Linked DNA regions of Diceros bicornis minor. The protein of the gene in region 1 purifies or fractionates together with the protein of each later gene. This does not show direct contact. Links are inferred from orthologs where the notes say so. Each region holds a gene or a part of one and is shown in the gene's direction. Other genes may lie near its edges. The genes, in order: RHEB and RPTOR.

Region 1 (11,818 bases):
AAGGAAATAAGATGATAGCTGATTTCTCAACAGAAAAAAATAGAGGCCAAAAGAAAATGGAACATCTTTAATGCATTAAAACACACACACACCCAACACCGTCTACCTAAAATTCTACATCCAGCAAAAAAAATAAAGAGAAATAAAAGGACAGCATGAGGAAGATCTTTCTGGTGATGGGACAGCTACGTATTTTGATTGTGCTTCTGGTTACATAAATCTACACATGTAGTAAAATTGAATAGAACTACACACACACACAAATGAGTGCATGTAAAACTTGTGAAATGTGAATGAGTTCTGTGGATTGCACCAACTTCAATATCTTGGTTTTGATATTATAGTATATTTATGTAAAATGTTATCATCTGGAGAATGGTACACAGGACCTTTCTGTACTACTTTTGAAACTACCTGTTAATCTATCATTATTTCAAAATGCAAAGTTAAAGAAATGAAATAAAGGCAACTTTCAGATAAATAAATGATGAATTTGTTGCCAGACTACAAGAAATGCTAAAGGAAATTCTAAAGGAAAGGCTGAAGGAAACTAGGATACAGCCTAACTCCCAGTTTGTGAAGGCTGTACACGGTGACTTCCTTCCAAAGAGGACGGTGTAGAAAGGGAGAGAAAAAGAGTAACTTTCCAGTGGAGAAACCTGACAAACACAACCTCAGCCAGGTGATGGAGGTCAACATCAGCAGTGATGAGTCATGTTGATACTAGGCACCTTTGATATGATGTGATGAGAATGGCACTCTACCTCTGTGGTCTTCCTCCCCAAAACCTGTAACCCCAGCCTAATCATGAGAAGAACATCAGACAAATCCTATTGAAGAACAATCTGCAAAACACCTGACCAGCACTCCTCAAAACTGTCAAGGTCATGAAAGACAAGAAACGTCTGAGAAACTGTCACATCCAAGAGGAGCCCAAGGAGACATGACAATTAAATGTAAAGTGGGATCCTGAAACAGAAAAAGGACATTAGGGGAAAACTGAGGAAATCCGCATAATATAGGAACTTTAGTTAATAATAATGTATCAGCATTGGTTAATTCATTCTAACAAATGTACCACACTAATGTAGATGTTAATAATGGGGAAAATCGGATGCAGGGCACATGGGAACTCTCTATACTATCTTTACAATTTTTCTATACATCTAAAACTGTTCTAAAAAATAAAGTTTATTTTAAAAAAAGACTTAAGAGATAATAGTAACCAACTGCATTATATGGACTTTATTTGGATTCTGACTTAAAGAAACAAATTGTTAAAGAAAATTATGAGGCATGAAGAGACATTTGAATAGTCTGGATATTTGGTGGTATTAAGGGCTCCTTAATGGGTTTTGTTTGTTTTCGGTGTAAAAATGGCATATTTTTTAAAAGAGTCATCTTTCAGAGAAAATACTGAAATACTTATGAATGAAATGGTATGATGTCTAGGATTTGCTTCACAATAACCCATGGGTGACTGGGGAAGCGGGCAGCACATAGATGAAACAGGATTGTCCGAGACTCAGCAAACACTGGAGCAGGTGATGGGCCCAGGGTTCACTGTACTAATCTACTTTTATATGTGCTTGAAATTTTCCAAAAAAGAGTTTCAAAAAATTTGAAAGTCTGCCTTAGTGTTTTGGATGCTTAGTTTTTAAAGATCTTGCTATTTGTGAGGGATACTTCCTCTGTCATTAGCAAATATCCAGGTGTAATTACACTTAGTCATCATTAATGAAAGTGGATGTGAATCCATATTTTAAAAGGATTTTTACTTTTTTGTAAAAATTTTTGGTCATTTTCTTGCAAAATATGATTAGATTACCACGTTTACCTTTAATGTAGTTGGCAAAGAGCTCATACAAGGAAGAGGCGGTAGCCCTGCCATTTTTCTTAGTGTATGCGTATACTGCATTTTTATTCTAATTGTTAATTCATGGTTTCTTTGACGGAAAGCTTTTTTTTTTTTTTTTTAATAATTTTATTTATTTATTTATTTGTCCCCCAAAGCCCCAGCAGATAGTTGTATATCACAGTTGCACATCCTTCCAGTTGCTGTATGTGGGACGCGGCCTCAGCATGGCCCTACAAGCAGTGCGTCAGCGCGCGCCCGGGATCCGAACCCGGGCCGCCAGCAGCAGAGCGTGCGCACTTAACCGCCAAGCCACGGGGCCGGCCCTGACGGAAATCTTTTAAGACCCACAACCATTTTGTGAGATTTAATTTAGTTTTGCAGAACTTAGGTAATATATTCTGTAATTCCTCGGAACCAGACACATGAAAAGCAACACATTATACTATTCCGAACACTAAACATTGAGGGCAACACTGCCAACCCCTCCCTGTTGAGGAAGTCCCACCAGGATACCTCTTGTACCGGTCACGACGTGCCACCCTCTGTCAAACAAGAGACGAGGGTGCCATGGTCAATCCATATATTACATATTCGCAAAGCTCAATTATTTTATTTTTAAAATAAAAATGTTAACAAAACAGAAGTTTATTTTTTTTCCTGCACACCAATGGAAGAAACTCCCTGGATCTCCACATGCTGGGTAAAATCCAACACTGAGAACTCTTCACATAGGAGGAGGAACCAATAGTGAATATATCTGTCAAAGGGTAATTATAACTTTCAGTGGTTTATGAATACTGTGACTAAATTCCACATCTAAGGCACATTTGAAGAGCACATGTAAATGCAAGCCTTACTGGCAGAAGCCATCGCCTATTTTATTGAAAGGAAATAGCCTCCTGGTTCTCCCTGAGCATCCCCCAGGTGCTGTTGCACAAGCTCTTAGGAGCAGGTGTTCTGCTCCAGCCATCTTGACAGGCGACTACCAAGGACCCTCAGGAGACTTTCTCTGCTGGGCATGCAGCCTCTGCTGGTGAAAGCTCCTACTAGGTGCACTCTGGCTTGGAGAATTGGGGAGAAGGCAAATTTCATCCACAGCCCAGCAGAAACTAGATTTGAACTTTTAATGCAATTTTATTGACGATTTGAGGATAGTTGATGGATTAGTTTTCTAGGATCGCTATAACAAAGTACCACAAACTGGGTGGCTTAAAACAACATAAATCTATTGTCTCACAGTTCTGGAGGTCAGAAATCCAAAATCAAGGTGTCGGCAGGGCCGTGCTCCCTCTGAAGTCTCTAGGGGAGGATCCTTCCTTGCCTCCTCCAGCTTGTGGGAGCCCCAGGGATTCCCTGGTTTGTGGCAGCATCACTCCAATCTCTGCCTCTATCTTCACATGGTTGTCTTCCTTCTGTGTATGTGTGTCTGTGTCTCTTCTTCTCTTCTTACAAGTACACCAGTCATTGAGGGGCCCACCCTACTCCAGTATGACCTCATCTTAACTAATTACATCTGCAACAGTCTTATTTCCAAATAAGATCACATTCTGAGAAAGTTAGGACATCAACATATCTTTTTGGGGGACACATTCAACCCCTAACAGTGAAGAACAATTTACAACTACTGCATAGGCCCAGACCTGGCCTCAGAGCTCCTTGCTGAGCCATCCAGCTGGTCGCCTGGGGCTTCAATCTGCAGACCCGCAGGATGTGAATGCGCAGTCCCCCTCTCCAAGGCGTACTTCAACAGGATGGTGGAAGGATTTTGCCCTAGCGCCAGTGCTCTAACTCAACAAAGCACATTCCTCCCTCATGAATGGCCTACCTCCATGGACTCCAGCTGGCTTACTCCATTTCCCTCTTCTGGGAGCCCTCCATGAAACTCCATATCTCAGGGTTCAGGCCAGACTGATCCCTGGCTTCAGAGAGAAGAGGATCTTTTTTCATCCCAACCAGTGTAAGTTGGGGACTTGCCTTCCCCAGGATGGCCTCATTAGACTCCTGAGTTCAGGCCTATCAAGGCCCGGTTGAGGAAACTGCTCTGCCATCCACAAGACCACGCAATGAAATGACCTTGGCATGTTTCCCAAATCTGCATGTTTGGGTTTTTTTTTGGTGAGGAAGACTGGCCCTGAGCTAACACCTGTTGCCAATCTTCCTCTTTTTGCTTGAGGAAGATTGACCCTGAGCTAACATCTGTGCCAATCTTCCTCTATTTTGTATATGGGACGCCGCCACAGCATGGCTTGATGAGCAGTGTGTAGGTTCACGCCTGGGATCTGAACCTGCCAATCCCAGGCCGCCAAAGTGGAGTGTGCCGAACTTAACCACTACCAGGCCGGCCCTTGCGTTGTTTGGTTTTGTATAACACCCTATATGAGAAATAAGCACATTTATGGGACAGTCACCTCTAGATCTTCATACAGAGGAACCCAATCCTGCAGCTCAGCTTCGTAGGGGTTCCTTCTCTGTGCTCACTGGGAAAGGCAAAGGGCCGTGACCACGCAGGTGGTCAAACAGCCCGGGGACAACAGAGGACGCTCATTGCAGTAGCGGGCTATCTGCTTCTTTAGCAACCACTAAGGGTAAGAATATCTACCACGATGGAAAAGTCTCCCTGGCTGAAATCTCCCCATCACATCCTCATTGCTCAGGCCTGGGCTTGCACCTTCATTTTCCACAACCGAGGCCTCCCGGGCTGGCGTTCCTTGCTGTAACACCCCAATGCCTCTTCAGCAGCACCAGTGGGAAAAAGGGTTGTCAGCGCGTCTTTTGTGGGAAATACAACAGCGTCCCCTTACTGGAGAGGTCAGCCCACACAGGAGGGCGAGCCCAGCGTACTTAAATCCCCCCCCACCAAGAACAGTTCGGAGCGTTCTCAGCCAACAACAGCTGGTGCCTGTCTACCGAATTAGCCACGCAAGTGTTGACATTAAAGATGTATTGACTTGCGCTATTTATTTCCTGTGAGGTGTGCTGGGTCCGCAGGACGCAGAGTTGAGACCAGAACTGGGAAGGCGCACATTTTTTAATGAAATGCATTAACATTTTGAATTAATGCATATTCCATTCTTTCCACGGTCTTTTACTCATGGATGACGCTTAGTCACCAGCTACATCCTCAAACCCAGACTCACTAACGCCAATATAGCAGCGTTTCTTCCGAAAAAAACCAACCCGGAGGAAAAACCAACCAACCCACAGCCCAGCCCGTAACGGCCACGCGCCTCGCGCCTTTTAAGGGCTCAGCGGGCGCGAGTCTACCAACCGCTCAGAGTTCCGCCAATCACCACGGCTCCCAAAGCTTGTCCCGCCCCTCCCCCTGGTCTAACCAATCACTGGGGAGCTAGCTTCTCTCCGCCCCTCCCGCCCGCCTCCACCACTGAGACGCTCCGGGCCTTCAAACCTCCCTGGCGGCTAACGGCGCGGTCACAGCCGGATTTTATTTTTAGTTCCCGGGCCAGCAGCCCCGCCTCTGGCTCCGCCTCCTCACCGCCACCAATGGGAGACGGAGTTTCCGTCGCGTCATCGCGCGGGCGGGCGGGAGCTGTCCAATCAGCGCTCGGGGAGAATTGGCGTAATTAAAAAGCGGCGGAAGACGGTGGGAGGGACATGACGCAGCGAGTTTTAGTCGTGACTTTTCTGGGGGCATCTCGGCCTCCCCTCTTTTTCCCTTTACAGTAAAACGCCGTCGCCGCCTCCCCGCGTGCCTTCCGGGGGCGGGGGCGGGGGCGGCCGCCGCGGCGGGGAGGGCGGTGCTGACGCGGGTCGCAGGGGGCCGGCGGCGGCGGCGGCGGGCGGTCACGTGGGCGTGTTTGGGGGCGGGGCCGCGCGGCGGTTCCGGGCGGTTGAGCGCGCGAGCGAGGAGCCCAGGCAGCCGCGCCCGCCCGCCCCGCCCCTGGATGCCGCTCTACCCCGGCGCGGCCGCCGCCGATCGCAGCACAGGAGCCGGCGCCGTCGCCGCGATTGATGTGGTTGGCCCGGGGCTGAGGAGGCCGCCAAGATGCCGCAGTCCAAGTCCCGGAAGATCGCGATCCTGGGCTACCGGTCTGTGGGTGAGTGGCGGGCGCCGCGCGGCCTCCTCGCGCCGGGCCGCGCCTCTCCTGGGCGCCGGGACGCCTCGGGCCGGGCCAAGTTTGGGGCCGGCGCGGCCATGTGGCGGCCGCGCGTTTCGTAACCAGCCGCCCGCCGCCGCCGCCACTACCTCCATTTTGAGCGGAGGCGGTGGCGGAGGGCGGCCCGGGGGCGGGGAGGCCGTGTGGGGAGGCCGCGGGCGCGCGGGTGTCCCGGTTCGTGCGGGCCGGCGGCGGCGGAGCGTCTGCTGCTCTGCCGGCGCCGCCGCGGGCCCCTCCGAGGGACCCGCACCTGTCTCCGCCTCTTCGCGGCTGGCTGGCGGGTCGTCGCTAGCGGCTTTTCCGCCCCGAATTCAGTCAGGTCCGGGGGTTTTAACAAAGGGAACAGCACCTTGTGAGGTTCTCTGTGGTGGAGTTCAGCGTGTTAGAGAAAACCAGGGACCTAAAGGACGTTTGGCCTCTGAGGGCAAGCTTCCCACCGCAGAGACCCCGAAGAGCCCTCTTCGGAAGCCCCTAGGTGCCGGCAGCGGCCGAAATAGAAAGGCAGAGGAAAAGAAGTGTCTGGTGTCTCGGTGTCCTATTTTTCTTCGGGAAAAATAGGGTCAGGTACTTGTAACCAGGCTGTTGAAGTAATTCAAAAGTTGTTCTTTTTTTTTTTTGCCGAAAGGTTGACATGTATTTGAAACGGTTCCCGGCAGTCGCCTGCTTGCTGGACTGGGGTGGTCCCTGGTGGGCTCGGGAGTGGACAGGGCGCCAGAAAACGAGTGAGAAAACGGAACCGGTGACCTTAACCGTGCTTCCGGGTGAGGCGTTATTGTCTGACACCTGGAAGCCTGGGGAAATTACGCTTCTCTGTCCGTGTTGTTTTTTAAGGAGTAACTGTCTAAGGAAAAGGTCCGCTTGACCCTGGTGGGGGAAGGAGGGGAAAGCGAGGGGCTGGAGTCTGGTGATCGCAGGAGGCGGCAAGGATAGTTGCCGTAGGAAAGCTCGTAGCTGCCTGCCGCGCGTTGGATGAACTCCCCCGACTGCGCTTTCTCTTCTGCTTCCTCACCCCCATTTTCCACCGCCGGTGCCAGGGTCTGTGTTCTTTGACCAAGATCAGCTACAGCATGCTTACTCATCCTTTTCTCATCTCCGTCACGGTTCCGGGGGGGGTTGGGGGTGGAAATCGTAAGAATAGAGGGCAAATCAAAGGCTGAGAGACGCTTGTTTAGAGATGGGGGTTCCAGGAGTCGTAGCGGTAAGTCGCGTGTGATGCAGTGTCAGATCGTAGGTACACGTGGGGAAGGACTGGTGACAGCCTGAACAGCTGCAGCCATAAAGTTACGATGCATCAAATTGAGGCTTTTAAAGTCACTAACAGCCCACTCCCCAAATGCCGGTATGGAACCCGGCATCCAGCCTTTATTGGCAGCCTAAATCACCAAGCCCTTGCTGCTCTGTTCTTAATTTCCTCCTCTGCGTTTTGAAGAGTGGGACTTGGACATATCCTGCTCTTGAGTGAGCTCTATCACATACAGAGTGCCCACTAATTGAAGATCGCAGTCTCTGAATAGAACAGTTACAGGTGACCTGTACCTGGGCTACCCGATTTCAACTCAAGAGCATGTCCCAAAGGTCCTGACTTATTTACCCCTTGAAATTCTTGAGATGGTGATTCTAGCCTTCAGTAAGCAAGTCTGTTTTATCACTGTTTTATAAAGAAGTTCCTTATGTCCAGTTGAAATCCATTCTGTTTTATCTTCTTCTAATCATCCTCCTCCTAAAGACCCAGATGTGACAGGTCACCCCTTAAACTTCTCTTCACAAACGTTCATTTTAAACTGCTGTTAAAATACTGTGCTAAATTAGCCTCCAGTGGGATACAGAGTAAGTTCTAGTCCCTGTTTCCTATGCCCTCTGTAGGTCGTTACTAATCGCCTCCATTTTCTCCATATTTATGTTCAAGTGTAGGGATGATTAAACTAAAAGGTATTTTGGAGAGGTTAAATTACTCTCAATATTTGCATTTGATTTTAAAGCTATTTACCTTTGTTATGAACCGGGACAACTTGGAGTCTTTTGTTTCATTTTGTTTTGCCAGCATCAAAAAAGGGAGTGATTTCCTGATTGCATGTACTAGCCACTCTTCAGAGAATTATTCAGTATTCAGACTTGTAGGAGTTTACTGATGTGTTTGCTTGCAAACGGTGCTGTACAAGAGATATTTGAGTGTGTTTCTAGGTTATGTTAATTTGTGATGCTAAGCTGTTGTGGCATGTTAGGCTCAGCTAGAAACCACACCTTTCTTAGAATGTTCTCTTGATTAAATATTTTCTGCCAGTTTGACTAGGCGAATACTTATTTTGATTTTGTCACGTCACAAATTTTATTTTAAAAATTTGCTTTCAGGTAAAACTACTAAATACTATGATTATTTTACTACTTGGCTTTCAAATTTTGTGGTTTTTTTTAAACATTGATAAAACTACCAGTGAGGAAAACATAATTCTCAGGTAATTTAAAAGCTTGTTTCCGGAAGTACTTTTCCTGTTATTTACAATGTTAAGCTTTTAAGGACACGTCACCTGTAAGGCAGGCTGGCTTTCAGGGAGTGCTGTGTATTGTTTTAGTGGTGGCCAAATGTACCAGCTCCCTTACATTCATTGTTTCTAATACAAATGAGTAGTCCCATGACAGGAGGCAACTCAACTTAATCAAGTCAGAATTTTAGTGTTGCATAACTATCTTCAAATAAAATCTGGTACATCTCTTACTGGAATCCTCTACAGAGAGCTTTGATAATCTAGTTTACCATTAGACCATAATCACAAAGTTATAAGTCTCTGCGGTTAACAGGAGGGACGAGACCACAGGAATGTGAACCATCGTAAGGGAGAAAATGAAACAACTCTGATTTGGTAAAAGGCAGTTCGGCAAAAGTAACTCAAATTATTACCTCGTCGAAATGTTTTAGGTAGTAAGAAAGATGCATCCTTTGATTTGGATACTTCATAGGTAAAGATGTCATTAAATTTGTTCCCAGTAGAATACAATCCAATTATATTCTGATTTACTGTCTATTTTTAAATTATACTGTCCTTTTCTGAGACATTTAATTGAAAATTTAAAGATAAAACATTGTTTGCCGTGTATAAAATCTATCAGTGTGTGAAACTGTATGTTCAGGTGCTTAGTAACATTTTGAGGTTGTGTACTTGTGGGTGGGAGTAGTGCTATAGTGGCCACCTTGTGTTAAAGCTTGAAATTCACTTTTTTTGGTGTCATTCATTGTTCTGTACAAGAGAATAATCAGAGCTTGCATTTATGTTATTTTGATGTTCTTGTGGGTTATATCTATCCGTACTTACCTTCAGCACCCTGAAAAGAAACTCTTGTACCCACTAGCAGGCACTCCCTAGCCTTCCTTCACCTCAGTCCCTGGCATCCACTAATCTGCTTTCTGTTTCTCTGAATTTACCTATTCGGGGCATTTCATATCAATGGAATCATACTTACATGATCTTATGTGACTGGCATCTTTCATTTAACATAAATATTTTCAAGATTCATCCATGTTGTAGCATGTGTCAGTAGTTCATTCCTTTTTGTTGCCAAATAGTATTTTGTTATTCATATACTATATTTTATTTATACATTTGTCAATTGATGGACATGTGGGTTGTTTCTGCATTTTGACTATTATGCATAATGCTGTTATGAACATTCCTGTACCAATTTTTGTGTAGACATATGTTTTCGTTTCTCTTGGGTATATTCCTAGGAGTGGAATTGCTGGGTCATATGGTAACTTTGTGTTTAACATTTTGAGGCACTCTCAAACTGTTTTCCAAAAGTAGCTGCACCATTTTGCATTCCTACCAACAGTTGAAATTGGCTTCAGTTTCTCCACATCCTCACCAATGCTTGTTATTGAAGTACTTTTTGATTTTAGCCATCCTTATGGGTGTGAAGTGGTATCATATATGATTTGCAAGTAATTTCTTCCATTCTGTGGGTTGTCTTTTCATTTCTTGATGGTATCCTTTGAAGCAAAAAGTTTTAAAATTTGACAAAGTCCGTTTTATCTATTTTCTCTTTTGTCACTTGTGCTTTTGGTGTCATATCTAAGAAACCATGGCCTAATCCAAGGACATGTAGATTTACTACCATGTTTTCTTCTAAACGTTTTATACTTTTAGCTCTTACATTTGGGTCTATGATCTATTCAGAGTTAATTTTTGTGTGTGTGTGAGGAAGATCAGTCCTGAGCTAACATCAATGCCAGTCCTCCTCTTTTTCCTGAGGTAGACTGGCCCTGGGCTAACATCTGTGCCCATCTTCCTCTACTTTATATGGGACACCGCCACAGCATGGCTTGACAAGCGGTGTGTCAGGGTGTGCCCGGGATCCGAACCTGTGAACCCCGGGCCTCTGAAGCTGAGCGCTCGCACTTAACCAGTAGGCCCCCGAGCTGGCCCCTAGAGTTAATTTTTGCATATGGTGGGAGATGGGAGTACAGCTTCATTCTTTTGCATGTAGATGTCAAGTTGTCCCAGCATGTTTTGTTAAAAGCCTATTCTTTCCTCATTGAATGTCTTGACATCCGTGTCAAAAACCAAGTGATTATAAATGTAAGGGTTTATTTTCGGACTCTATTCCTTTGATCTCTGTGTCGGTCCTTATGCCAGTATCACGCTATCTTGATTACTGTAGTTTTGTAAAAAGTTTCAAAATTAGGGAAGTATGAGTCCTCTAACTTTTCCAGATTGTTTTGGCTATTCTGAGTCTCTCGCATTTCCATGTGAATTTTAGGACTAGCTTATTAATTTCTGCAAAAAAAGCAACTGAGTTTTCATAGGATGTTTTGTAGTTTTGCAAGTATCTTTAAATGTCTGGTTTAAAAAACAACTGAATTCTCATATCTGCTTCTGAATTCATTGAGTTACAATATGTTACTCTAATGAAGTACGGATATGAAGGAAATCCGGCCTTGCATGGATTCATAGTTGGGAAAGGGAGGAGTATTTTAATAGCTTTTTCAGATAATTGTGGATATTCTTTGATACTCACCAAAACTCCATAGGTGGTAGTTTCTTAGAGGTTATTGTAGTATGCAATCTGAAATTATGTGGATGAATTTTTTTCTACCATGTTACATATAACTCCATTCATTTGCTTTGCACTTTGAATGGATCTTCTACCCATGCCTGATTTTATAACATCATACATTGGTCATTTGGAAAATACGTATTGGTTCACTATTACACAGATTCTTCCACATTTTGACGTTTCTATATATAAATACCTTTTTAAAATCAAAATTTTTAATATCACCACCAATCTCCTCAAACATTTAAATATTAGGAAGCTGTTAAGCTCTCCATAAGTAATGCAAGTTTTCCCAAGTTTTAATTTTCTCTTCAGAGTTTGAATGTGATCATTGGGAAAGTGCTACTAGTTTTTCTTGAAGTGACAGTTTCATTTCCAAGAAAATGTCTGCCAGATACCCACATTTGAAATAATGATAGTTTGTTGGTCATTCTTGCAAGTAAAAATGGTGTTCCATGATAAAAGTGTTATTTCAGATCACTTCCCAAACAGTTGCACAAGTGCTGTTCCTCAAGCCAATCATCCTACTTCCATATGCATCCATCCCATTTTGTCAGGTGGAATATTAAAAAGACGTACTTAAGGGTCAGATTTAATACAATTAATAATTGTTACTGCTTCAAGTACTGCTTTACTCAAGTACTGCAGTACTCAAGTACTCCTACTGTTAAATGAAAATGGCTTTTCTTTTTTTTACTGTGAGTGCATGGTAGTGAATAATACAATGACTTTTCACTACAGTTTGTAACCACCATCTTGATTCATGCTAAGAGGTACCAAGCCAGTAGTTTTACCT
Region 2 (12,822 bases), on another chromosome or scaffold:
CGGCCTGGGTTTCTGGCCTTTGAAGCCCCCCTAGTGATTCTGATGTACAGCAAAATTTGGGAACCTCGGCTTTGAATTCAACCCGTTGGTTTGAATCCCGGTTCCACCACTTACTAACTGTATAACCTGTGGCAAGATACTCAATCTGTGCCTCAGCTTCCTTACCTGTAAAATGGGGACAGTAGGCTTGTTGTGAGTATTGAGTTACTAGGTCTGAAGTGCTTAGAACAGGGTCCGGTTCACAGGAAGTGTGCTAGAAGTGTCAGCAATTGTTATTACAATAATTATTTTAATTAGCACTCAGTCGAACACTTAAGAGCCTTCCAAAGGCCCTGCATGCAGGTTTAAGGTCCCTCAGGATGTTTTCGAAATGAATGAGAGGGTGTTCGCCTTACATCTTTGTAACCAAAGGTCTAGCCTGTTCAATTTCATTAAACCAAGCGAAGGTCACAGCTTCATGGAGCAGCCCCAAAAGTTGTGCCCACAAAAAAAAAAAATTAACAATGAAAATCTTTCTCTATGGGTCACTCTTGCAGTTTCTCTCTGCACTAGGGGCACACATAGCCTCTCACGGTGTTGATGTGGAGAATGCTGGGAAGTGAGGACACGGGAAAATGCTCCTGCTGTTAATGAAAAGATAAGGCACAAATGAAATGTTTTGTTAAATAGCATTGTTTATATAAGATTGAATGATTCTTTTTCGCAAAAACTATACAGATAAGCATGTCTATAATACATATTTATAATATATACTGGAAGGCTATTCAAAGAAATAGTAATAGCAGTTATGTCTGGGAAATGGAATTAAAAGTGTTTTTTTGTTCTTATCTTCAAAATAATGTTTCAGAATAACGTTATTTTTTAATGTAAAAGGCAAATAGATTTTTAAATATATAAATGCCAGAAAGAAAAGGCAGAAAGGAAATACACAAAATGGGAGCAGTGGTTACTGTGGGACTGTCGGGACTGTGGTTTGAGGCGTCATTTTAATTTTTTTTCTTCATTCTTTTTGACATTTTCCAATTTCCTCCGGTAAGTATTAATTACTTTTTATTTGTTAAATTTAAGAAAAATTGTCAAAGTGCTAGGTTACACTGTTGAAAGTGTAAAATAATATTTCTGGGACTATAAAGCAGGGAAGGTGTCAGTCCTTGGCCCCCGTCCCGTGTCACCCACCCGCTGGAGCAGCTGGTCCATGTGTTTGGCTGTTTCTTGTCATATTCGCCTCAGCATTTCTACACGGCGTGTTTACAATCTCTGTCTTCACTTTTTAAAAATGAGTTTACGGCCTTATCCACTGACATCTCCCGTGAAAAACCAGACATCCCCTCTTACGTCTCCCTCCCACCCCACATGTAAGGCTTTTATTTAGAAAAACAATTAGAATTATTCAAAAAAAGGAAATCCACTTTTGAGGCTCAGGCACACATGCTGTGTTTTCCGTGAAGACTTTTTAATCGACCCAGATGGAATTTATCTTTTACAGCAGTTTGTTAATAATAATAGCCTTTCCTGAGTGTTTGCATGTGCCTGGCATTAGCTCATTGAATACTTACAACATCTCTATGAATTAGAAACTATTAATTTCCCTATTTTGCACATGCAATTAGCACCTCTCCCAGTGTCCCAGGACACGAAAGTGCCAGAGCAGGGATTTGAACCTAGGTCGGCGTGACTCCCAGGGGCACGAGGAGGTGCTTGTGGGCTCCCGGGTCCTCGCCTCAGGCTGTGCTGGTTGGTCTCTCCCCCAGCCCTGGCCAGCAGAGAGATCTTGAGAAAGCTCTTTAATCGTTGTGTATCTCAATTTCCCTACGAGTAAAATGGACCCAAAACAGGAGCCTTAAATGGGTTATTAGGAGGATTAAATGAGTTAATTCTCATGAAAAGGGCTTGGCTCACTGCAAACATTCACTCTCTGGATTATACTATTTTAGTTACAGGCACAGTCTCTAATCCGCCTTATTAAGGCAGAGGCAATGGCTGTGCTGACCTGGGCTCCCCCAGGACCTCGTGTTCTCTGAGAACCTGAGAATCATTGATGAGATGTGAATATTATATAAAATCACAAATGAGGAGTTTAAAACGAGACAGCTGGTTATATTATTTGTATTTTCATAAAGGTAGAATCTTATTGTAGGCAATGCTATTAAAATAAAAGATTATAAAATTCAGTTTGCGTATTTTTTATTGGATAACAAATTTTCTCAATATAGTCTCTATCATAAAAGCTTTCCTTTTCTTTTCTTTTTAAACGCTTTGTCTGCACTGGGCGTAGACCACTTCTCAGTGAATTCTACCTCCAGGGTCCTGGGGGAGGAAGGAGGGTCCTCACTCTAATGGAACTTGTGACCTGGGAGAGACACTGGCCTGCGTTCCCTCTCCACAAAGAATTCCCGAGGGCCGTGGACATCGGTGTCTGATCCAGTGAAGGTGTGGAGCTGGGTGCACCAGGCCATCCAGACTGACCGCTCGGAGGGCCTGTGCCGGAAGCCAGGCTCACTGGGAACTGGGCCTGGAGCACTTTTGCTTCAGCTCCGTCACTCCCCACCTTGCTCCAAATTCTAGGCTCCCCAGCAGGCTCTTCACTGCCCTACACAGAACAGCCCTCTGAGCGGGGAGGAGAGGGCTAGGGGTGCAGGCACAGTCCTGTGAAGACTCCACTCTGTTCTCTTACCTTGTGCGTTTCCTGATGGGCTCTGCCTTGCGGCTGGCTCTTTAAGGCTGAGGCTATGCAAAATTCTCAATTCTGAAAGAACTGTGGATAGTGGGTGAAGTTAATTTAATGAGCGGTGCTTTTTACTATAGTCCCATGCTCCTCAGGGGTCACCCCCTTTTTAAAATGGAATAACATTGTTGTTTGTTTCTGCTTATCAGAACCATACATGCTCAGTGTAAAAAAAAATTATAAATAAAATAGAAAGGTATACCGTAGGGGTGACAATCACGTACACAAATATCACTATATTTTTAGATGGATGCAATGGTAGGAGAGGGAGGCAGACTCGTTGAGGCCTGTTATTTCCCTTTCTTTCCTCTCCTCACTTCACTGTCAACAAAACATCTGACCTGCAGAGGGGGGTGGCTTGGAATTTGCTAAAAACAGAAGTAATGATGCTCAGACAAAAGCAAAGTACTTTATATCTATTTTGGTTTCTTTTAAGCTAAGCACAGATTTCTCTGGAAAGAACGGAGCTGGCTGGTCTCCCTGTGTGGAAAACAATAGCTCAGCGAAGCACCTGGTTTTCTCCAGTTGCTTGACCTCCAGTCTCGCTCCTGATTCTTGATGACAAAACACATCGAATGCCCTTGATTGATTTAGCAGAGAAACTGCAAGATTGGAGGAGGACGGAACGCAGCCGGTCCTGCCTGCAAATGGAATACCTTGGCTGTGATGGTCTTGTGTTTTGAGAGAAGATAAGGTCGGTTGCGGGTGGGCCAACAGCTGAGCTTGGAAGCTGTGAAAATCCAGCCACCATAGTTCTTCCTGGGCAACATGCTCGGTACCCAAGGCATTTATTCAGACCCTCTCCCTGCCCCAATTTCCCCCGCCATGTTTACTCCAATTTCTGTTGTATTTGTCCAACACTCTTAGGTTTTTATATTCATTCTCTGCTTACTTTGCTTTATCTTTGCCAAATAGCCAAAGTTTTAGGGCTGGAAGGGGCCATATGGTCTCCTTCACATTTCAGGAACAGGTCCCCGCCTCTCTGTACCGGCAGGTCAAAAATTGTTCTGCTGTTTCAGGTCAGAGCTGGCCCTTAAAGCCCTTCCTCTCTTCTAGTTCTACATCTGCAGCCTGGTGTTCACCACCAGGAGGGCATCAACACCCTCCCCCATTTTCATAATTTGAAAATCAGACCAGGTTTTGTGCATTTTTTGAAATTCATAAAACTTGTTTTCTAGATTAAATTATTTTATTTAGAGGTTTTGTGGAAAGCAGGAGCTGTCCTTGCTTGTGAAGAACTGGAGACATTGGAAATCGGAACTGCAGGCCCAAGTGGCCAGCAGATCACACAGCGTGGTAATGAGATCACCCAGGTGAGAAATATTAACCCTTGATTTTCCAGCCTATCATTAGTCACAGATGCTCACTGCCCTCCAGAAACCTGGAGCTACACTTCCAAATGCTTATCTGGGGGGCCAGCCCAGTGGCGCAAGCGGTTAAGTGCGCTGTGTGCTCCGCTGCGGCGGCCCGGGGTTCCCCAGTTTGGATCCTGGTGCGCACCAAATGCTTATCTGGGACTTGAACAGAGTCATCCAGGACACACTAGAATGAGGTTTCTTTTAAATGTCATGATGCTGTGAAATGATTCAAGCCCAATCTTGAAACTTCTAGTTGGGAGCTGGGCTGTCACCAGCCCCTTTCTGGTTTTTACATGAATCACAGAACTTTGAACCTGAAGTGTCCTTAGAGATTCACCTTCTTCAAGTTCCTCCTGTTACAGATGTGGAGACTGAAGATAGAGAAGGGCAGAGGCGTTGCCCATGTCTGCAGGATTTGGTGGTGGGCTGGGGACTGGAATATGTGTATACTGACCCTCAGTTCAGGACATGGACCCCAAATGGCCTCTTGGTTCTGGAGTCACATTGTAAAACAGTAGAGGGTGTGTTTTGTTCTGTAGTTTGGGGGAGAGGGTGAGTCTTGTTCTGATTTATTAGATGGAAGATTGCATAATTGCTTTATAGTATTCATTTATTCAGTACAAATATTAATTGAGGGCTCACCATGTGGCCGGAATGGAATCATTGGAGGAGAATATTGTCTAATATCCCTAGAGAGACTATTGTCCAATATTCCCAAATCTGGCTGATGTTAAGCTGTCATCAAGGTTACCTGACTAAAAAATATAGATCCTGAATGCCTGTCTTCCCACTCCCTGTGGTTCAGTAGGTCTGGGCTGGGACCTGGGCATCTTTAGTTTTAGTTTCCCAGGTGATTCTGATGACCTGCCAGGTTCGGGTTCCATGGGCTCCTTTACTCCTTTCACTTGGAATATCAGACAAGGTGAGTGGATTTCCCAAGGTGACACACACTTTACAGGTGAGGAAACTGAGTCTCACACAGATTAAGTGGGTTTTCCCAGGTCACAGAGCTAGTTAGGAACGAGCGGGTTTAAGGCTGTTGCTTTTCTGTAGCTGTGGCTTCCTGCGAGAGTGCCTGGAGCAAAGTTCTCTGTAGCCCAGGGGATCATGGTCTTCACTGCTGTGTGCTGCAGGGGTGACAAGGCAGCAACAGGAGTTATGTTATTGACTTCAGGTGAGAATAGGGTCTTCTCAGGACCCTGCAGTCCCATAGCCTCTGCTGGTCACTGTGGGGATATTTTGCCAATACAGAAGGCAGGGAAAAGCAAGGTTTTAGCCTCCATCTGTGTTTTGATGAATTTGCTCTGAGTTTTAGTGGGAGAATTGGGTCCACTGCAATGTAATAACTGAATGTTTGGGATGATAATTATTTAACCCAAGAACTTTTATTAAACACTTGCTATGTGCTAGGCGGGAAAGATCTGGGATTGCACTATTCACTTGGATGTTGAAAGGAACACAAATGCTATCAGGATTTTGATATGGACTGCCCCTTGTGTCAAAGCCCTGGTAAACCACACTGAGAAACAGTATCTTCTAGAGCCCAACCTGAGGTTTTAGATTAATAAAGCGCATAGGGTTGCTAAGTTTCAATGGCTACAGAACCATCACTGCTAGCATTGTATTTGGCGCTCGCTATATACTAGGCACCTTCACGGGTTAATTTTGTCCTTCAAGGTGGGTATTATTACTCTAGATTTATAGCTGAGGAAATTGAGACTGAGCTAATTAAGGGATTGACCAAGGTCACAGAGATGGAAAGGATACAGCTGAGATTCAGAACCAGGTGTGCCTGACACCAAAGCCCAAATGCAGAGAGGAAGGCGAGCCTCTTTGCCCCTGCTTGGCTTTATCTAAAGGTCACACGTGCATTTCACTGGACACTAAGTTTATTGAAGGCAGGCACTGCATGCTGCATTCATTCGGTTTCATAATCCCTCTTGCACTGGACACAGTTCTCCACACATTGTAAATTAGCAGTGTTTACCAAATACAGAAAAAACGCAGGAGGCATGCCCCCACGCATAGAAATCCGCAGGTTTTAGTTGTTTACACATGAAGCTATCTCAAAACAAAAATCAACTGCTGAGAAAATAAGGTGGATTAAACAAAAAATTGTAATCATTGAAATTAAATTTTTCACTTGGTGTTCCCTGAAAAAATCAAAATCTGATTGATACTGTAGAGGATACTACGTGCAAAACAACCCACAACTCTATCTTTTTTTGTAATATTATCAATGATTCTTTCTGAAGCTTTTCCTGCCTTTTCAAAGTCTGGAAGAAACAAGAGGCTTGATTCCTTTAATTTCAGAAGCATGTAGGTCCATTTGTAATAATAAAAAGATTTTATCAAAATTAATTAAATGAATACAGTTTCATTTGTAGGATTGACTTTGATATTATGGATCTATTGAACGAATGGCGACAAACTCTGGAAAGCTAGATTGTGGCAGCCATGGTAACGGGGGACGGGGACTTCTCTCGCCGCATCCTGGGAAGCGCGGCCAGAACGCTCTGAGGAAGGTTGGCCTGTTAGCCACGCCGTAGATCGCGATGCATGCCGGGTCTTGGCAATATGGCGTCCTCCTTGATGTGCTGATGAGAGGAGTTTCACTGTAGCTTCAAACCAGAGGGCAAAACTCCCCAAACCCAGTAAGCCTACATTACTCGTTTTCTCCGCGGCTCCGGGTCGCTCGTTTCTCAGGACTCGTTCTCGGGCAGGAGGGAGCCACGGGGCCGAAGGCCAGGACCGGCGAGACCGCGCGGACCTGGGGCTGAGGAGCCGGCTGCGGGCGAGCACGATGGGCCGGTCCTGGCTCTGGTTGCAGCAGCTCCGGCGATTGCGGGACCCACAGGGCTGAGAGTGGCTGGAGGAGACCCGAGGCGCTCTGAACTTCTTCCCCTCGGCCGGAGACCTCAGCCCAGTCAGCGAACCGGCACCAAGAGCGGGCGGCCTGCCTGTCCTCGAATCGGCTGAGGCGTTGGAGGCCGAGAGCAGGGTCATCGTGAGGCCTGGAGTCTCACACGCCTTTGACAGCTCCGCTCGCAGCCCCTCCGGGGACGTACAGCCTCAGAAGCAGCCAGTGGCTTGGGATCTGGGGGCGTGTGTGTACGTGCGGAGCTCCTTGGGCTGCCCCATTTCCCTCCAGCTTTTCCCAGCCCCTCCGACTTCCCGCGCAGAGTTAAAGAGAAGGATCTCACACTTTTTGCCTGAATAAGGGTCTCCGCATACTCGCATTTCTTTTTCTACTCCCTCTTTTTCTGTTTCTTATTTCACCGATTCTGGTATACGCTAGTTTTTAAGGCTGGAGGTTCTCGAGCGCTTGCTGCCAAGGACTCCACCACCCCCTCCCCCCCTGATGGAGTCCGAGATGCTGCAGTCGCCTCTTCTGGGACTCGGGGAGGAAGATGAGGCCGACCTTACAGACTGGAACCTGCCTTTGGCTTTTATGAAAAAGAGGCACTGTGAGAAAATTGAAGGCTCCAAATCCTTAGCTCAGAGCTGGAGGATGAAGGATCGGGTAAGTGGATTCCAACTGCGCCCCTTGGAACCTGGTAGTCTTTTCACGGAAGAAAGTTCGGAGTTAGAAGAGTGTCCTTGGGAAAGCGGCGATATTTTTCCCAGCCACATGTTGCAAGTTAACTGAAAAGCACAAAAACCATTTCAGACTCCAGTTTTGGGTTGTAAATGGAAAAGCGTGTTTTGGTTAGTAGTTATTCACTGGATAGTGTTAATTCCGTTCAAACTTAGTTCTAATTCAGATAATAAAGGTTAAGTAAGTTCGAAAGTACCGCACTGCAAGTATTTACACGCTCTTTGATACACTTAGTGCTGTTAACACGTGGAGGAAAGACAACTTAAGATATAATACTTGTGTCCACGTGGTTAGTCTACTTTTGTGGTTAGTTTACTTTTTTTGTCCATGCTAGGTGAAGTGCAGAAGTCTAATATAGCATGCTAGGAAACGAGATTACTGACAAATGTTTAGCTAGTAACAAATTAATGCAAAGTTATTTTAAAGTTACAGTGAACTTTATCTAGCCTTCTAAACAATTTGTCTTGAATCCAGACTTTCCTCCTTTTATGTTGTGTTATGTTGCTATAACTTGGAGACAGAATTTCTCCAATCTCTCACTCCCGTAGTGGAGTGAGAGTATAATGGATTGGAATTTGAATCCAGCTTTTAGGAGGTCCCCATGGTGTTGGAGTGTGGACAGTGACTCACAAACAGCTAGTAGGAAGGAAAACAGCCAATTTTGTTGAATCTGCGCTTAATCAACCACCATCTATTTCCTGTTCTCCAAAAGAGCGGGGCTATCTCGTCTATGCACACTTATAATTTGTCTTTTTATGAATTATTTTCTCCTTCAAAACTGTCTTTATTTATTTGAACGTTTTAGTGGTATCAGAGGGGTAATTGGTGTTACAGTACAATGTGATTGCTCTGGGCTTATGAATATGTTTATGTAAGATTATTGTTTTTATTATATGATGTTGGACATATATAAGATTACTCTATGGTAATTCTAGTTAGTCACTAGTAACCAGTGCTTCAGTTAGTGATTTGGCTTACTTTTAAAAGGTTAGGAAAATTTGTTTCCTCCAAAAGTAGTTTAAGGAGTAAAAGAGGTGATCATTGGAAGAGAATGTATAAAGTCTGCCTTATGGACATCTTGAGTACAAATTATATAGTTCAAAACTTTTGTGGTTGCTATGCATATATGAAAAGAAATTTATTTTAAAGTAACCATCTAATTTTTTTTTCATTCTATTAGGAGGGCATTTTTTTTTTCTTTTGAAATGTGATTCCCTCTGCTACCCTAAACCCATGCTCAAACTGTCCAAAACTGATTAATGGATATATTTTTGACCTTTTAATTAAAGCATTAATTTGTTAATGATCAACATTCCCTGATAAGCTCTTCATAGGTTAAGAGAAAGAAAAGTTCTATGAGTCTGAGTAATTACTGAGATTACTACTTAGAAAAGAGCCAAGGGAGAAAGTTTGCTGTATATGACCTTTGCAAGTTGTTGAATAAAGAAGAGAATCAGCAGCTAATGTTTTTAGTTAAGTTTGTGAGAGCATGGCATCTTCACAGTCTTTGGAGACTCTTTCCCCTGGTTAGACCCTGGGGGTACCTTTTAGGTACACCCAACTAGGATGAAGGTTGCAAATTCCAGTGATGCTAAGAGTTGGAAGGTAGCCTAAATGAATGAAACAGGCAGGATATAAGAAGAATAATGGCATAGGTTCAAAACCGACATTTGATTCGTGTGTGATTTTCTGGAGGGTGTGAACAGCAGGGCTCTGACGAGCACATGCCGAAGCAGCTAAAGGGGCAGCTGGGCCTCGGCCAGATTTCTCTCCCTTTCTCTTGCTCTCTTTTTCTTTGAGAAGCCAGAAAACTTTTTTTTTTTTTTTTTAATGTGAAGTCTTTCAATTTTAAAATATTGGCACTAATTCAGATATTACAAACACAAAGTAGTCCAACACTGTAGGCCAAACAAACCCAGTTTGTGGGGTTGGTTCTGGCCAGTGGGTTACCCGTGTGTGACTTCTGCTGTAATATGGCAGCTCCAGGCAGCCGCTCTGACTCGAGGAATCCTGAGCACACAGGCTTTCAGGCCAGATTGTCTCCCTGTGCTGGAGGTGGCCTCCAGCAGTCTGATGGAGCAGCATCTTTGTAAAGCAACACGTGTGGGCCCAGTTGTCCTGTACTAGGACCTACACAGACCACTTTTCTTGGTGGGCTGTTGACTGCTCTTTTTTTTTTAAGAATTTTTTTTTTTTTAATTAATTTATTTTCCCCCGAAGCCCCGGTAGATAGTTGTATGTGATAGTTGCACATCCTTCTAGTTGCTGTATGTGGGATGCGGCCTCAGCATGGCTGGAGAAGCGGTGCGTCGGTGCGCGCCCAGGATCCGAACCCGGGCCGCCAGCAGCGGAGCGCGCGCACTTAACCGCTAAGCCACGGCTGTTGACTGCTCTAACTGAAGTCTGCTCCTTCCTGTGATTGATGTACAGATCCATGTATGTTTATTTTGTGTATATATTAGTGGTTACCTTCTGGTGTCCTATTTGGTGGAGTTGTTAAGGATTCCTGAAATTGACATCTTTACTGAAGTTGACTGATGACGCCAAAATGTTTTCTACCACTCAACATTTGGCATCCTTATAGAGCTACAGCACATGCCCACTCTCAGTGGGGATTCCCATAGTCTTTGTTTTGAACCAGTCTGGTTTTCAAATGCCACTATTTTTGCGTTTTAATTACTGTTACTGTTAATTTAATACTGTTACTATAAAATTAGTTTGTTGTGTGGTTAATTCCTCTGTGTATGGTGAATGATACGTATATGCATCAATAGCATTTTTGTCTTGTAATTTTCAAATAACTAAATTATATGAATTACAGTTCAAAATGAGTCATTCATAGACCTATGGCTGAAACAGATGTGTATATATCTCCCCCATTTGTGTTTTACTGTGATACTTTATAGTTGTCACAGAGTTCATTTTCCCATTGGAAAGTGGGCATGTGGGGATAATTGGATCTTTTGCCTTGCACATATGGAATGGAATCACAGAAGCTTGAGAGCTATTTCTCTGAAAGAAAACCATCGACAGACACACTATACCTACATGTGTGTAGAAGATGTAGCTATAAAACGATGAAGCCGTTTCCCAAACCAGTCTCTAGGCTTAGTTGCCTTGCTTTGTAAGCTGCACTTCAAATAAACCACGGAGGAAGCCAAGTAGATACATTAAACTAATATATGGACCAAAAAAGGGTAAATAGTAATACTTTATAATCCAACGTTACTCCCTCTATAGATTCCTTGCCTTGCACCCTCTCGCAGTCTACTCCAGTTAGGCTCCCTTCCTGGGCTCTGAAACCACCCCCAACACGGCCATAATTTGTTGCTAAATATAAAGGTCACTTCTCTGTCATTATCTTATTCGATCTCCCAGCAGCATTCCACAGTGGACCACTCCCTCCTTCATGAAACTCTTTCCTCACTTGATTCTGTGTCTTCCCAGAACTTCAGTTCTTCCTCTGAGGTCTCTAATCGCTCTTCCTCAGACTCCTTTGCTGTTTTTTTTTTTTTTTTTTTTTTTTGAGGAAGGTCAGCCCTGAGCTAACATCCATGCTAATCCTCCTCTTTTTGCTGAGGAAGACTGGCCCTGAGCTAACGTCTATTGCCAATCCTCCTCCTTTTTTTCCCCAAAGCCCCAGTAGATAGTTGTATGTCGTAGTTGCACATCCTTCTAGTTGCTGTATGTGGGACATGGCCTCAGCATGGCTGGACAAGCAGGGCCTCGGTGCACACCCGGGATCCGAACTTAACCGCTAAGCCGCGGGGTTGGCCCTCCTTTGCTGTTTGATGGCTGAGTGTGGATTGCTCCGGGACTTGATGTTGGACCCGTTTCTCTTTTCTATGTACGCGCCTTGCTAGCTGATCTCATCTAGGCTCGTGATTTTAAATGCCATCTACATGCCAGGGACTCTCAAATCCCCATTCTTGATTCTGCCCTGCCCCTGGAACTCCTGTCTCAGATACCTAATTGCCTGCGTTTTCTCCATCACAGCACACCGCCACCACCACCCAGTCAGTTGTTCAAGCTGTAAATCTAGAATTTATCCTTAATTCTTTCCTCTTCCTCTCCTCATTGCCTTGTCACCAGTCACCAGTAGAACCTGTCAACTTTGCCTCCAAAGCGTATCTTATGTTGGACCACCTCATTTTGTCTCCACTGCTGCAAGCCCAGTCTGGGCAACTACCATCTTTTGTCTGGAAGACTGCAGTTGCTTCCTGACTGGTCTCCCTATGTCCACTCTTGCCCCACAATTGATTCTTCACGTAGTGGCCAGAGGGATCTTTAAAAAGTGTAAATCAGATTTCGTTACTTCCTACCGGCCCTCTCCACTGGCTTCCTGAGTACTTGGAGTAGAATGCAAATTCCTCACCCTGGCTCACGGAGCTTCATGATCTGGCCCTGCCTGCCTTTTCTGCTTCTTGAGTGGAAAGGCCTGGAATGCTCTTTCCGCTAATCTTTGTACACCTGGCTCCTTCTTGTCCTTCGCACTCAGCTGCTTGGTCACTTCCTTAGAGAGACCTTCCCCATCTAAAGCAGCTCCTCAGTCACTCATGATCACTCTTTATTTCTCTGATATTTTTCTTTATTTTCACACCTCCAGAACTGAGCTTTTCATCATAAAGCAAGGACTTTGTTTATGTCGGTACAGAGGACAGTGCTTGGCACATAGGAGGGATTCACTGAAAACATACTGATGAGAAAATAGATAGTTTACAAAGGCTTGCACCTGGATTATGTCTCTTAAGCCTCCATAGCCCTATAAATTAGTTAGAGATCTTTATCTCTATGTGACTGATGAGGAAGTTGAGGCTTTAATTAAATGGTTTGCCTACAGTGACATAAGTTACATAACTAGCAAGGAGAGGAAGTGGAACTTGAGAAACAAAGCCTGGTTAAAAACAAACAAAACCGTATCACAGTATCTTGACTGAAAACTTCATATTGAGAGGCCATGGAGTCTAAAACAAAATGTATGGGGAGATGACTCGGGTGGTGGCAGGGCTACAAAACCAGACGGAACAGTGCTGGTGGCGCAGCCCAGCTGTTTGCTCCTGGGCTCCAGGGCTTCCCCCAACACTGTCAGGGGGTCCACGAAGTCGACACTGTTTTCATAATAATGGAAAATGTCATTGGCC

What was found.
Region 2: the proteins of RHEB (region 1) and RPTOR purify together in Homo sapiens (affinity purification with western blotting, with the first as the bait; 3 studies listed by BioGRID). This does not show direct contact. The link is inferred for Diceros bicornis minor from reciprocal best matches to the Homo sapiens genes RHEB and RPTOR.

The regions. Positions count from the first base shown.
Region 1 is NC_080742.1:97,129,290-97,141,107, reverse strand, and holds the start of RHEB (GTP-binding protein Rheb), read left to right. Parts: upstream 1-5,637; 5' UTR 5,638-5,861; coding exon 5,862-5,913; intron 5,914-11,818. UniProt on the Homo sapiens protein: Small GTPase that acts as an allosteric activator of the canonical mTORC1 complex, an evolutionarily conserved central nutrient sensor that stimulates anabolic reactions and macromolecule biosynthesis to promote cellular biomass generation and growth.
Region 2 is NC_080757.1:60,040,650-60,053,471, forward strand, and holds the start of RPTOR (regulatory-associated protein of mTOR), read left to right. Parts: upstream 1-7,433; 5' UTR 7,434-7,444; coding exon 7,445-7,606; intron 7,607-12,822. UniProt on the Homo sapiens protein: Component of the mechanistic target of rapamycin complex 1 (mTORC1), an evolutionarily conserved central nutrient sensor that stimulates anabolic reactions and macromolecule biosynthesis to promote cellular biomass generation and growth.